Linked DNA regions of Macaca mulatta. The protein of the gene in region 2 purifies or fractionates together with the protein of the main gene of each other region. This does not show direct contact. Links are inferred from orthologs where the notes say so. Each region holds a gene or a part of one and is shown on either strand. Other genes may lie near its edges.

The links.
Region 1: the proteins of XRN2 (region 2) and CDKN2AIPNL purify together in Homo sapiens (co-immunoprecipitation; 6 studies listed by BioGRID and IntAct, with this or other methods). This does not show direct contact. The link is inferred for Macaca mulatta from reciprocal best matches to the Homo sapiens genes XRN2 and CDKN2AIPNL.
Region 3: the proteins of XRN2 (region 2) and CDKN2AIP purify together in Homo sapiens (affinity purification with mass spectrometry; 4 studies listed by BioGRID and IntAct, with this or other methods). This does not show direct contact. The link is inferred for Macaca mulatta from reciprocal best matches to the Homo sapiens genes XRN2 and CDKN2AIP.

Annotation. Positions count from the first base shown.
Region 1 is NC_133411.1:143,328,354-143,332,449, forward strand, and holds the start of CDKN2AIPNL (CDKN2AIP N-terminal-like protein), read right to left. Parts: upstream 2,809-4,096; 5' UTR 2,782-2,808; coding exon 2,543-2,781; intron 916-2,542; coding exon 816-915; intron 410-815; coding exon 331-409; intron 1-330.
Region 2 is NC_133415.1:62,665,374-62,668,934, forward strand, and holds part of XRN2 (5'-3' exoribonuclease 2), read right to left. Parts: intron 2,614-3,561; coding exon 2,475-2,613; intron 212-2,474; coding exon 146-211; 3' UTR 1-145. UniProt on the Homo sapiens protein: Possesses 5'->3' exoribonuclease activity. May promote the termination of transcription by RNA polymerase II.
Region 3 is NC_133410.1:191,890,325-191,894,512, reverse strand, and holds the start of CDKN2AIP (CDKN2A-interacting protein), read right to left. Parts: upstream 2,809-4,188; 5' UTR 2,646-2,808; coding exon 2,374-2,645; intron 1,904-2,373; coding exon 1,773-1,903; intron 1,353-1,772; coding exon 13-1,352; 3' UTR 1-12. UniProt on the Homo sapiens protein: Regulates DNA damage response in a dose-dependent manner through a number of signaling pathways involved in cell proliferation, apoptosis and senescence.

The DNA of each region.
Region 1 (4,096 bases), on a different chromosome or scaffold from region 2:
TAAGTATTTTCTGAGTACCTTCTCTGGGGTATAAGTATACTAGGTTTGGGAGTACTAAAGACTAAATAAAACTTTAGACACCATCTCTTCCCTCAAGGTCACAACTGCTTTAAAAGAGGTCTGGATAAAGTGCCAAAGGAATTTTGGAAGATAAGCGAGCAATTAATTCTGCTGCCTGAGCAGATAAATGTGAAACAAGTACATATTGGGGGTGATTCTGTAAAGTATTAATAGCTGGGATGCCCAGCTCCATACTCTGAGGTTCTTTCTGCCACACTCTCTATAGGCCCAGCTCCAGCATCCAGATTCAAGACTCTAGGCAAGACTCACTGTAAAAAATCCATCGCCTGAGATCAGACCCCACAGGATAGAGAACAGCTATGGTATCGACATTGCTCCAGCCACATTCCTATCAGCAAATCAGAGAAGCCAAACTAGTCAGGTCAGCACTCACGGCCAGGGTAAGGATGAGTTAGTTACTCTATTACCAACAAGATTTTTTAACAAGTAGGAAACAAGTATTCTAGCCAACATTTTTTTAAACATCAAGCAAAAATCTCAAAACAATGTTCCTAATCACCCAGAAGAAGTTAAGCTTATGTGTTACCTCATCAACAACGCATAATTTATCACAATGTGTTGTCAACTACTTATGAAAAGGTTATACCAATTATGGGGAAATAATAATGAAAAGGTATAGGTCTTTGGGGTAGTAAACAAGAGCACTCAAAAACAATACTCTAATATAGTGTCATCAAAGCAGGGACTGTTAACTCTACACCATTTCATCACATACACTTGGAAATCCTATTTACCTTTTTCATTAACTCACTTCTGGTAGTAAATTGTGGCAGGTCTTCCACTTCAATCCCATCGGCCATTTCCATCACCTTGTCTAAAAGGTCTTTATTGTAACTGCACAATAAAAAGTAATAAGGTAAAAACCTCGGAAGAATTGTCATTGTGAATTAATAAGAAACTGCAGGTTGCTCAACCATAAAATCAACTCTCAGAGAACTGATCTGATACTGCAGGGCAAACCTATACATGTTCAGCACAAGGTTTTGAGATGGAGTCTTGCTGTATCCCCCAGGCTGGAGTGCAGTGGTGTGATCTTGGCTCACTGCCACCTCCACCTCCCAGGTTCAAGCAATTCTCCTGCCTCAGCCTCCTGAGTAGCTGGGATTACAGGCATGTGCCACCATGCCCGGCTAATTTTAGTATTTTTAGTAGAGACAGGGTTTCACCATGTTGGCCAGGCTGGTCTCGAACTCCTGACCTCAAGTGATCTTCCTGCCTCGGTCTCCCAAAGTGCTGGGATTACTGGCTTGAGACACTGCGCCTGGTCCTGTGAACACTTCTTGCTTGTAGATACAGAAGTGGACTTTATAAATACCAGTAGAGCAAATGTTTCAAGATTTAGAAGAACAGAGGCACTGTACATCTAACAACAGATATTCTCAGATACGGGATGAGGGCCAAAATATTTTTGTTTATTTTTTAAATACATGGAATGTCAGTCTAACAAAAACATTATTTATTTGCCCAATTCTCTGACATTCGCCTAACCATGGAAAACCAGGATTTCCCAGGAGCACCTAGAAGGCAGGGAAAAGGGACGGGTGCCTCTGGCATTGGTTCCCTACGTACTGTTCTAATAAACCCCAATATGTGAAGCAAAACCAAGTGGCTTAGGCCTGGAGGGGCCAAATGACCAGAGTCAGGCAACCATAATAGGTATAGAAACCAAGATCAAACCAAGTCACCCTATTTTCCTAACACAATTTCAGGAAAATGGAGGCTCTCTAACAGGGAGTCTCAAGATTTGCCACCTTCCTCATGGAGGGGTGAAGGGAATGCCTTATCAGGCACTTCAAAAGCGAGTCTTTGTCCTTTTGGTGCAGCAGCCAGGATGAAGTGGGCTTTGGGACCTTGACAAAAAGGCATCGGTCATTTTCATAAGAGGGAAAACAAAGAGGTAAAGCTGGTTCCTACTTAGGACCCAGTGGGCTGTGGAGTGAGGACAAAAAGGCACAGGATACAGATTACATCCTGTCATTAGTGGTTAAAATCCATCAAACCTGCCAGAAGCTGCATGGTCCTAGTTACATCACTTCCCTCCCTAAGCTTTTTCATCTGTAAAATGGGGATCTCCGTTTCTGTCTCTGCACTTTGCCATGTAGGTGACAGAGGCTAACGGACTTCGAATGCACACTGCAAAGGTGATGGTTTGAGCTAATAATGGTAGTAATACATATAACAATAGCAACTTTTGAACCCGCCATGTATTTAGCTCTTCACCCTTTAATTATTACAGTCATCATAACCACCCTTTTACCAGAAGAGAAAACTGAGGCTCAAAGATAAGGATCGTTCCAAGGGGCCTTCAGGGTGGGAATCAGTCTTCGGGCCGGGCAATGCGGATGGAGGTTGGGAGCGGGTTCAGTCTGGGGCAGAGGTTCGGGTCAGGGGTGAGCCCTGGAAGAGGGCTTGAGGGTCGGAAGAGAGGGGACAGGATCAGCCGGCCGGCAGGGGTCCGCACCTGCAGCCTAGGAAGAGATGGTTGGCCCAGACCATGGAGAGGGACAGCAGCTGGTCCAGGCGGCCACCGCCGTCGGGCGGGTCGCGGTAGTCGGGCAGGTGGCGCAAGATGAATTCCATGCGGGCCTTCCATTGCTTCTCGCTCTCTGAGTAGGAGCGGAACTGCTCCGCGAAGTCGGCCGCCTGCCGCACCCCCGAGACCAGCTCCTCCACTGCAGCTGCCGCCTCGCCACCGACCATGGTGCCCGCTGCAGCCGAAGACCGGATAGCCCGCCGCCTTCCCGTCGCGCACTGCGCCACCACCTGCCAGCCAGAGGGGCCCCGTCAGCGCACGACTGCTCCAGAAGACCAGCCTGGAGCGCCCTCGCCCGGAGCGGCGGCCTGCGGGGGCACAGAGCGGCTCCTGGCTCCTCAGACCGCCGCAGCCCGCGGCGCATGCCCTGGGTCTACCCAGGGCTGCAAGGGCCCTTCGCGGTCGACCCTGCTGGGAACCGGTGGGAAAACTGAGGTCCCTAAGCACAGAGTCGGAGCGCCCTCTTCCAGTTGGCAGCTGGATGCCAGTCAGAGCTATGCTGTATCTTTCTTGCCCTGGGAGTTTCCCAGGCACCGCCTCATCCTAAGGGATATCAGGGGGCCCGGGTCAGGGATAGATAGGTCCACTTCCAGGGGTCTCCACAGCCACGCAGGTTGGGGCCCGCCTTCCTGGAGCGAGTAATCCATCCATCCGGTGAATACTTGCCAGGCACATTGCTAGGTGCTGGAGAGGCAATGAGAGCACACTCGGAGCCCTGCTCGCCTGAACTTTACCATCGAGTGGAGGAGCAGACATTAGTGAACTAATTGCTCAAGTAAGTGGAGAATTTCAGCGTTGACAAGTACTAGTAAAGAGAAGTCCAGCGTGCTACAACCATGAATAAGCAAGGAAGGGACCCAATCTAGTCTTGGGGTCAGGGAAGTGATCCTGGAGAACTGAAGAATGAGCAATTTTCTGAGAAAAGGGGAGTCGGTCAGAGCAAGAAAGAGCATGGCCTGGTAAGAGAATTGCAAGATACGGGGTAGGAGGGGCTGGGGGGCAGGGCAGGTAGAGAATGGAGAAGATGAGGTTGCAGAGGTCAGCAAGGCCAGTAGGCCAGGCAGGGATCCTGGCTAGATCCCAAGAATGGGGAGCCACTGAAGGATTTTAACCAGAACAGTGACACCTGGGTTTACAAAAGATGCTGGAAGGAGTCAGAAAGAATGTGTCCAGAGGAAATGAGCAAGTTTGGATTTGGTTTTAAATAGAGACAGGGTTTCGCCATGTTGCCCAGGCTGAGTCTCGAACTCCTGAGCTCAAGTGATCTGTCTCAGCCTCCCAAAATGCTGGGATTACACGTGTGAGCCATCGCGACTGGCTAGTCCTGAAAGTTTCTATTTAGCTGGCATGACTCGGCTGTCTGTTCTAGGCTCAGGTAGCAGACACACTGAGAGACAAAAGAGCTTCCTTTAAAGTGGTGAATTCCCCATCCCTGGAAGCATTCAAGTACAGTAACTGGGTGTTGGGGCTCAGAAACCAATA
Region 2 (3,561 bases):
TCAGATCAGTAGAAATATACACAGTTAAAAGAAATACACAAAGTACTGTAGTTTTATTAAAAACTACTACTTGAGAAAGAAATCTTTCCACAAATAGCATAAAACTGTAGAATGATGAAAGGATTTGGGAAAGCTTTACAAAAGCTTAATTCCAATTGTATCTTCCTGAGGGTGGTGGCAAAGGGTATTTCCTTCCTTCTCTGGGATATCCCTGAAAATAAACAAAAGAAAAGAGTTTATTTTCTGGACTGATACTCCTGCAAGTCAGTTAATTTTACACTTCTATGGAAAAATACATCATAAAGAAACTGAGTATGTGTTAAAGGTACAGCACATGGAAAGGTCCCATAAACAGGTGCTTTGATCCAGAGCTTTAACACAAACTTGTTGCAAAGTTGGAGGCTAGCACAAATGCTATTACTGAAAAATAAAAAAAAATAAAAAAAACCTTAACAATCACAAATGCACACAAATGCACTAGAGTTAAGTGTTTTGTGTAAACAACATGTACAGACAGTGGTTCTCAATTTTCCCACCGTCCTAGCAGTAGTAATTCAAGTCACTTTGTTGTAAGATACCCACATCAATTTAGACTTATTACACAAGGAAAGTAACTTTGCTTTAAACAAGGCAAGAGCTTGCTAAGTCAGTTAAGGCCAAATTGATTTTAGGGATTTTTTTATTTAGCAACAAAAAGTAGGACATTAAATGATATATTAAGGTTATTACACAATCCATTAGCAATGACCTTTATAACAAACATATCCTAGAATGCTTGCAAATAACATTTCTGTATAACAAAAGATAAACCTGACACCTCTTCACTGTAAGTCCTTTTCTAGGCCTCTAGGGTTTTGAAATGGAACCCCCTCCCACCTCATTTTGCCACCCAGAGAGCACTTCAGTACTTTAAATATGAACATGTGCAGACTCAAAGCCAGAATGTAGGCTAAGGCCTTGTTTGGTCATATAAAACTTCACTAAACATACAATGAAGTAATGATTTTATGTTTTTAACAACAGACTTCTGCAATTTAATAGTGCTTCAAACATTGTGGTTTAATAAAAAGTATCTCCGTGGAAAAGAGACTGAGAAAGAAGAAATGTTATTTTAAAAAAGTCCTAAAAGAATAATAAATTTACCAATTAGTTTATATCTTTTAAGTAAATAAGAATTTTATCTCCTACAATAGCAGAGAGTTCCTTTAAAAGGAAGATCTCCAAAGGAGGAAGGAAAATGGATGAACTGGGGTCAGCAGTCTAGGCAGCCAGCCCCCAGCTCTCCCGCCCAACTGTGTGGGGTTTTTAGGGTTTCAGTTTCTGACTTGGAAAATGAGGTGACTAGACTATACATTCTCCAAGTTTCTTTCAGTTACAAATATGTCCTCACTTCAAAAATGCTCATCACTGAAACTGCCTAGTGCCATCTAACCACAGTAACATAAAGAGCCTTAATTCACTGATGTGATTTTGAGGGGTCCTGGTTTGAAATAATTCAAAGCAAAATTCTATAAACTGATTTAAATAAACTGTAAAAAAATCCTCTCAGAAGACATTAACTATTTGCAGTTAAGGTGATTATCTTCTTGTAAGGTGGAGATACTTGTAAGAATACATCAAAAAAGTATACAAAATATGTTCCTTAGCTGTGAGAAGAGAGGTCTTACTAATTAATATGTGAAGCACTGCAGAAGGCCTGGAGGCAACACCAGGTAAGCAATTTAAAAACCACTTCACATCACTGCAGGTGCCAAACTCCATAAACACTACACTCTGAATCATAGCATTCCAATCTTGTTCTCTAGTAAGGATTCCATTAAGAGCATGTAAATACTGGCCAGGCTGTCAAATTGCTGGAGGAAATTATGTCAAACAGACCTCAGTCTTAAATGCTGCTAAAATTGGATGCTGTAAAGAGAAAGAACTGAAGCTTACATATACTAAATTTGTCTAGGAATTATGACATTCAGTGATACAGCTGCTTACATTGAGAAGAAAAATATGTGGAAGATTATCAAGCAGAGATTTATGAGGAGGGATATCAGATGAATCAAGACAGGAGACTTCTAAAATGACATTTTAAAATGACTTCTAAAAGACAACAGCTGAAAAAGTAGACTTACTTTCCAGCTTCCAGAAAATCACCCATTATGAGGGATCTAGGTTCTACTAAAGAACAATATCCTTAAAGAAAAAACAATGTTTTGGTGACTGACTACATTTGGACTAATTATCACTGACTGCTATGATTTAAAGGGCTTTTGGGTTAGAAATTCTTTGGCATCTTCAAGGTATATAACCTATTTAGTGAGGCAGGTACTCAACCCATATACATTTTTAATGACAGACCAAAGTTCAGCCAAGATACTCTATCAGTGTCTTCTCCAGAAATGTTGGTAAGAAAATATGGAGTCCTGTGAGCCTTGCTGAAATATAAAGTGAGCAGTATGCTTTTCATCCCACAACCCATTTACCTGTCTCCCTCCACGATCATCTCGTCTGGGTGGATACCCACCAGGCCCAGCTAGCATCTGGTACTGGTTTGGCTGGAAGGCTGCATTCTGGGTTTGCAGCATCCGGTTCCATGGGAGCAGAGGTTCAGCCCCAACGCCTCTGTAGAAAAGTACCAGGTTTACATCAGAAGCCATGCCTACTATACAGCACAAAGCCTAAAAGTGGCAGGTATCATCTCCAAATTTTAGTACAATCCAATTTACCTGGATTTATCATATGGGATACAGAGTATCAGAATGGCCTTTGTGTCCCTTATATCCAGTATAATCTAACATGTTTCATGAAGCATGAGCATTTATTACAATGGATGTTTAAACTCAACTGAGAAGTTCTGACTTTTAAAAATTATTTTGTTCATTTTCAATTGGGAAATTTCCTTTTTAGTCACTTAAAGATGTAGACCCAAGATCACCAAGTTGGCTACATTTAAGATGCTATCCAAATAGTAAACATGTACACGACAGGAGAATGAGGCTTTATTTTCAAAAATGTCCAGACTCGTTCTTGGATCCATTCTTTCTACTTAATTGCAGGTTGCAAATGAATTCTTACTGCTGAGTATTTTGAATCCAGGGTAGGAGACTTGGCTGTTTTTTCCCATCCATTATTCTGTTCAATATGTCAGAAGGTCTGATTGGGAGGAAACCTTTTCAAGTTCTATTGATGCAGCTTTCAATTGACCACGGTGACCTAGCAACATGAGCACTAATTGGCATGGGCTGACTGGCATTTGGTGTACAGTTTACATGGGAACACAGATTCAACGGCTATTATAACCCAGTTTGCTGTCCCAGATTACTAGTCGAAAGAAATGTTTTAATTGTCTTCAAGTGCCTATTTTAACTTTGCAGATGCAAAGCAAAAGGTATAATGTACTAAATCATAACTTAATTAAAAACTGTCACATAAACAATGTAGCAAGGATATATACCTTCTAAAGGCAATCACCATTTAAGACTTTCCCCTTAAGGCACTTTCCATAACTTCCATTTTATGGAAGGCACTATAAAGAATAAACAGAGGCAAATGCGCCAGTATATTTGAACA
Region 3 (4,188 bases), on a different chromosome or scaffold from region 2:
ATTTTGGACACATTATAGTAATTCTTGAGGATGTTTTAATGCTGGAGGTAAGTTTACAGGCCTCGATTCTTCATCAAGGAGTACTAGATCTTCTATTTCACTGCCTCTGTATTTCCTTTTACATATTTTTACCACCACCTTTTTCTTGAGAAATAACTTCAATGCTTCTCTTGATGCAACTGCTTTTGCATTTTCTTTGCTTTTTCCACAGCCAGTGCCCAAATACACAGACTTGCACCTCAATTCACAAACAATACTTTCTTGAGAGCTCTTATTTTGAGGCAGATCTGCTAATTCTTTTAGTGGGACAAAAAATACATCCAGTGTTGCTTTCAGAGCCTCAATAGCTGCATTTAGAAGCTCTCCATGATTCACATTGGGACTAAAGCCACCAACAGCTACCAACTTCCATGCCACCGTTTTATACAGTCTATTGAAAAAAGGCTGCTTCTGTTTCACATCTTCATTGGTTAACTTGCAAGAGAATTTGACAGCACTCTCACTTGACTGTGAAGTACTTTTAGAAGGCAGCTGTGAGGTGCTAGTCTGAGAACTACTCTTAGAAGCCAACTGGGACACACTTGCTAAGGAAGTGCTTTTGGAAACCAGTGAGCCACTGGTCTGGGAGCTGCTCTTGGAAGCTAGAAGTGACGCAGCCACCTGGGAAGTGCTTTTGGAAGTTAGCAGCGATGTATTTGTTGAAGAGCTGCTCTTGGGGGTCAGTAAGGATGTGCCTGATGAGGAACTGTTTTTAGCAACTGATGATGAAACACTTGCCTCTGAACTAGTTTTGGAAGTTAACCCACTTGAAACTGTCTCTGAACTAGGTTTGGAAGACAACAGTGGCAATTCTACTTCTGAGCTTCCTGAGGAGCCCAACAAGGGCACCTCGATCTCTGAGCTGCTTTGAGAAGCTGAGGCTGAAGAGCTTTCCAAAGCACTCTTTTTAGGTGATCCACCTTGTTGTCTAGAATCAGTGGATTGGGTCATGTGACTATTCACACTGGATTTCAGCAAGGAAACAAATGATGCAGAACCGTGTTTATCTGGAGCTTCTGCTTCAGAAGCTTTCCCAGATCCTGCCGTTGTTACCTGAGAGGAAACGCTGCTGCTGCTTTGGCTGGAGACAGATCGATCTCCATCACTTGTAGAGCTATTCTGACTGGAGATGCCAGCGCTCCAAGCTGAGTTCCCACTCTCTGATTTGATGGCCGCCCCTGTACCCGCTGAACTGTTTTCCTGCTGAGCTGATGCACGTTCTGTCTTGGCAGAAGTTTTTGCATGATCTTGCTCAACTGCAGAACTGTTTTTCCCTTCTATAACTCGTTTTTTGGATGGCTCTTCTACCCCTTCTAAAAAGAAGAAAAACATAGATACATGACTAAGAATACCTCGTATAAAACGGGTGAGACAAATACACATTAAAATAAAGGCACAAAGTGAAAATATTTCAAGACTAATCGTTTCTTTAAAAAGTGTGGAGTCATTAATTTCTTAAAACAGTGTTGAATAACATCATGAATGTCTAATATTTAAAAAAAAAACAGCATCAGACAACAGTGGACACTTCAAAATCTAAAGCAGTCAAAGCAAACTATCAAATTCAAAGCCTAAAGACACAGATACATAGTTTAGGTTTAACATTCCAACTTTATTACTTATTGATAACATAAAAATTCTGGCTTGTTAAAAAAATTAATAATGATAATTCCTAATTATATCAAACTTATGCTCTAAACTCCTATGTATGTTCACATCTATGATCTGCTAACCATTGCTACTCGATATCCCTCTTTTCTTCACCTTGGCAACCAGTTCGTCTCTTGTTGTATAGGTTGGAGCATCTGTCACTTTGATGCCTTCAGCCATACTAAGTATTTTATCCATAACTTTTTGAGGGTATCTGAAAAAGAAGAAAAAGCCATTTTAAAAAAAGTGTTTTTTCTAAGGTCCTATTTGTGCTTTGCAAAAAACAGGCCACAGGAACTGCATTTCCTGGCTGCAATCAAGAAAGTGTACCAACCGCCAAGAACTGTTTCCTGGACCTCCATAAACAAGTGCCCCAGGGTCTACGAGGCAGGGCACCTCCTCACTAACCTTAAATCTAGCACCCGTCCCCAAGAGCGTTGCCCCTAACACCAGCAACCCTACCAGCAGCTCCCCCCACACCACGGGGCACACAGACGTCCGGGAATCGTGTCGGCTCCTCGCAGCGACACCCTTCTCACCCTTAGAGGGCAGCCGGGCCGGCAGATTCCCGCGCTTCACAACTTCCCCTCCCCGCCGAGGCCGGTCCCGCGGAGGGCGCCGAGCGCCGGTCTGCAGGTGGCAGACAAAACGGGGCGTGCTGGTTAGGGACGCTGCCTCACTCACCGGCACCCGAGGAAGACGTGGTTCGCCCAGGCCATGGAAAAGGAGATGAGCTGCTGCAGCTGCCGGTTTCGGGTCCCGCTCTCGGTGTCGGCAGCTTCATCCGTGCTAGCGGAGGCAGCGCCGCCAGCGGGGGCCAGGTCCCCGGCGTTGCGGAGCAAAAAATCCCGGCGGTGGCGCCAGTGTTTGTCAGTCTCGCCGTCGCAGCGCAGCGCCTCCACCCAGGCGGCCACCCGCGGGTTCTGGCTCAGGTACTCTGACACCTCCTGCGCCATGTTGGGCCTGCAGGCCGCGGAGGCCGCGAGCACAGCTGCACCGGGAGACTGGCACGGAGCGCCGGGAGAGCAGCCCTGTCACTGCGGCCTGCACCGGCGGCCCTCCAGATAACGCCCCTCCAGAGGCCCAAAGACCAAACAACAGCTCCCGGAGCAGCCGAACCGCCCACTTCCGCCCGCCGCCGGCTTCTTCCCTTTTATAACCTCGCCGCCGCCGCGCGCCCTCGCGTTCTTCCGACGCGAGCCGGCGCTCCCAGGACGCTTTGCGGCGCCGGGGCCGCCGCGACGCTGCGTCCAGGTCAGGGCACGGAGGGGACCCCGAGGGTGGGGCGAGCGGGCGTCGGGCGTCTCACTCCCTGTGAGGGCGGATTTCAAGTCGGGCTGCCCCGGGACGACCGAGTCGCGGCGGAACCCCAGGCGTTCTGGCCTCGCTTTGTGACGCCACGCACTGCTGTCGCCCTCCTCCTGCGCCGGGTCAGCTGCGGCGCCGGGAGCAGAGGCGAGAGGGGCAGGGCCCGGCAAGGGAGGCAGCCAGGCGCGGCGGGCAAAGTCCTCCAGGGCGGCGTCCCGGGGGACCTTGAGCCGCCAGCAGCCGCGGGGCCTATGGTCCCGGCTCTGAGACGCGTGTGTGTGTGAGCGGGGCCAAAACAAACAAAAGCCGGCCTCCAAGTTTATAGAATGTCGGGAAGTGCGTCTCGCGCTGCTTTCAGTGTGCCCGAGCGAAGCGTTCCGAGGCCGTCGGGGTCTCGGCGCCGTCAAGAGGATGAGGGTGCCGGTCTCCTTACATAGCAAGGTCACACGAGGACCCGGCTCCGGGTTGCTGTGAGGCTTGCTGCCTTCGAAGCTAGTCCTGGCCCCGCAGCGATTGCGCTTGTTCCCGCAGTTTCTTAGGTCTCTAGTTAATCCAGGCATTGCCTTCCTGTTTTGGTCAATAGCACACCACCACCCCGACAACGTTCTGTCTCTAGAATTTCCTAAAATCAGCAACTTTACCACCAACCGGCAGATGTCCGGAGGTGGAGTGGAAATGTGCCTATTTATTTATGGGGCCCCAAACCTCTCCCTGTTAGAGCTATATTTTCCTTCTATATATTTTTTTCCACTTTACGTTTCCCACAGTTAAGTACTCTAACTGCTAGCTTGCTTATTACGTTTTCCATTCCAGGTATCCATGCACTTTTAAGATTAATACGTTAAATGATATAAATTATGAATTTTTTCTTTCACTAAATGTAGACTGATGTAAAAATGCATGAATCAGAATAATCAAGCAAAAAAGGTCGCTTTAGGTAAGGTCAGATAAGGTTAACTGTGTAATTTATGCGCATGCTGGAACAAAATACAGCTATTGTATGAAAACAATATTGTCCATTTTCCTGCCATACCAAAAGAAACTGCATAAAAACGGAGGCACAAAGAAATTTTGAAGCTTATGATTTTGCTTCTAGTTTGCTATTCCTTCCTCCTTTTCACAGATAATTGCTGAAAATCTAGAGGGGGTGGACGGATTGCAGAAATCTGGCTATTTAAAAGGTGGAGAAAT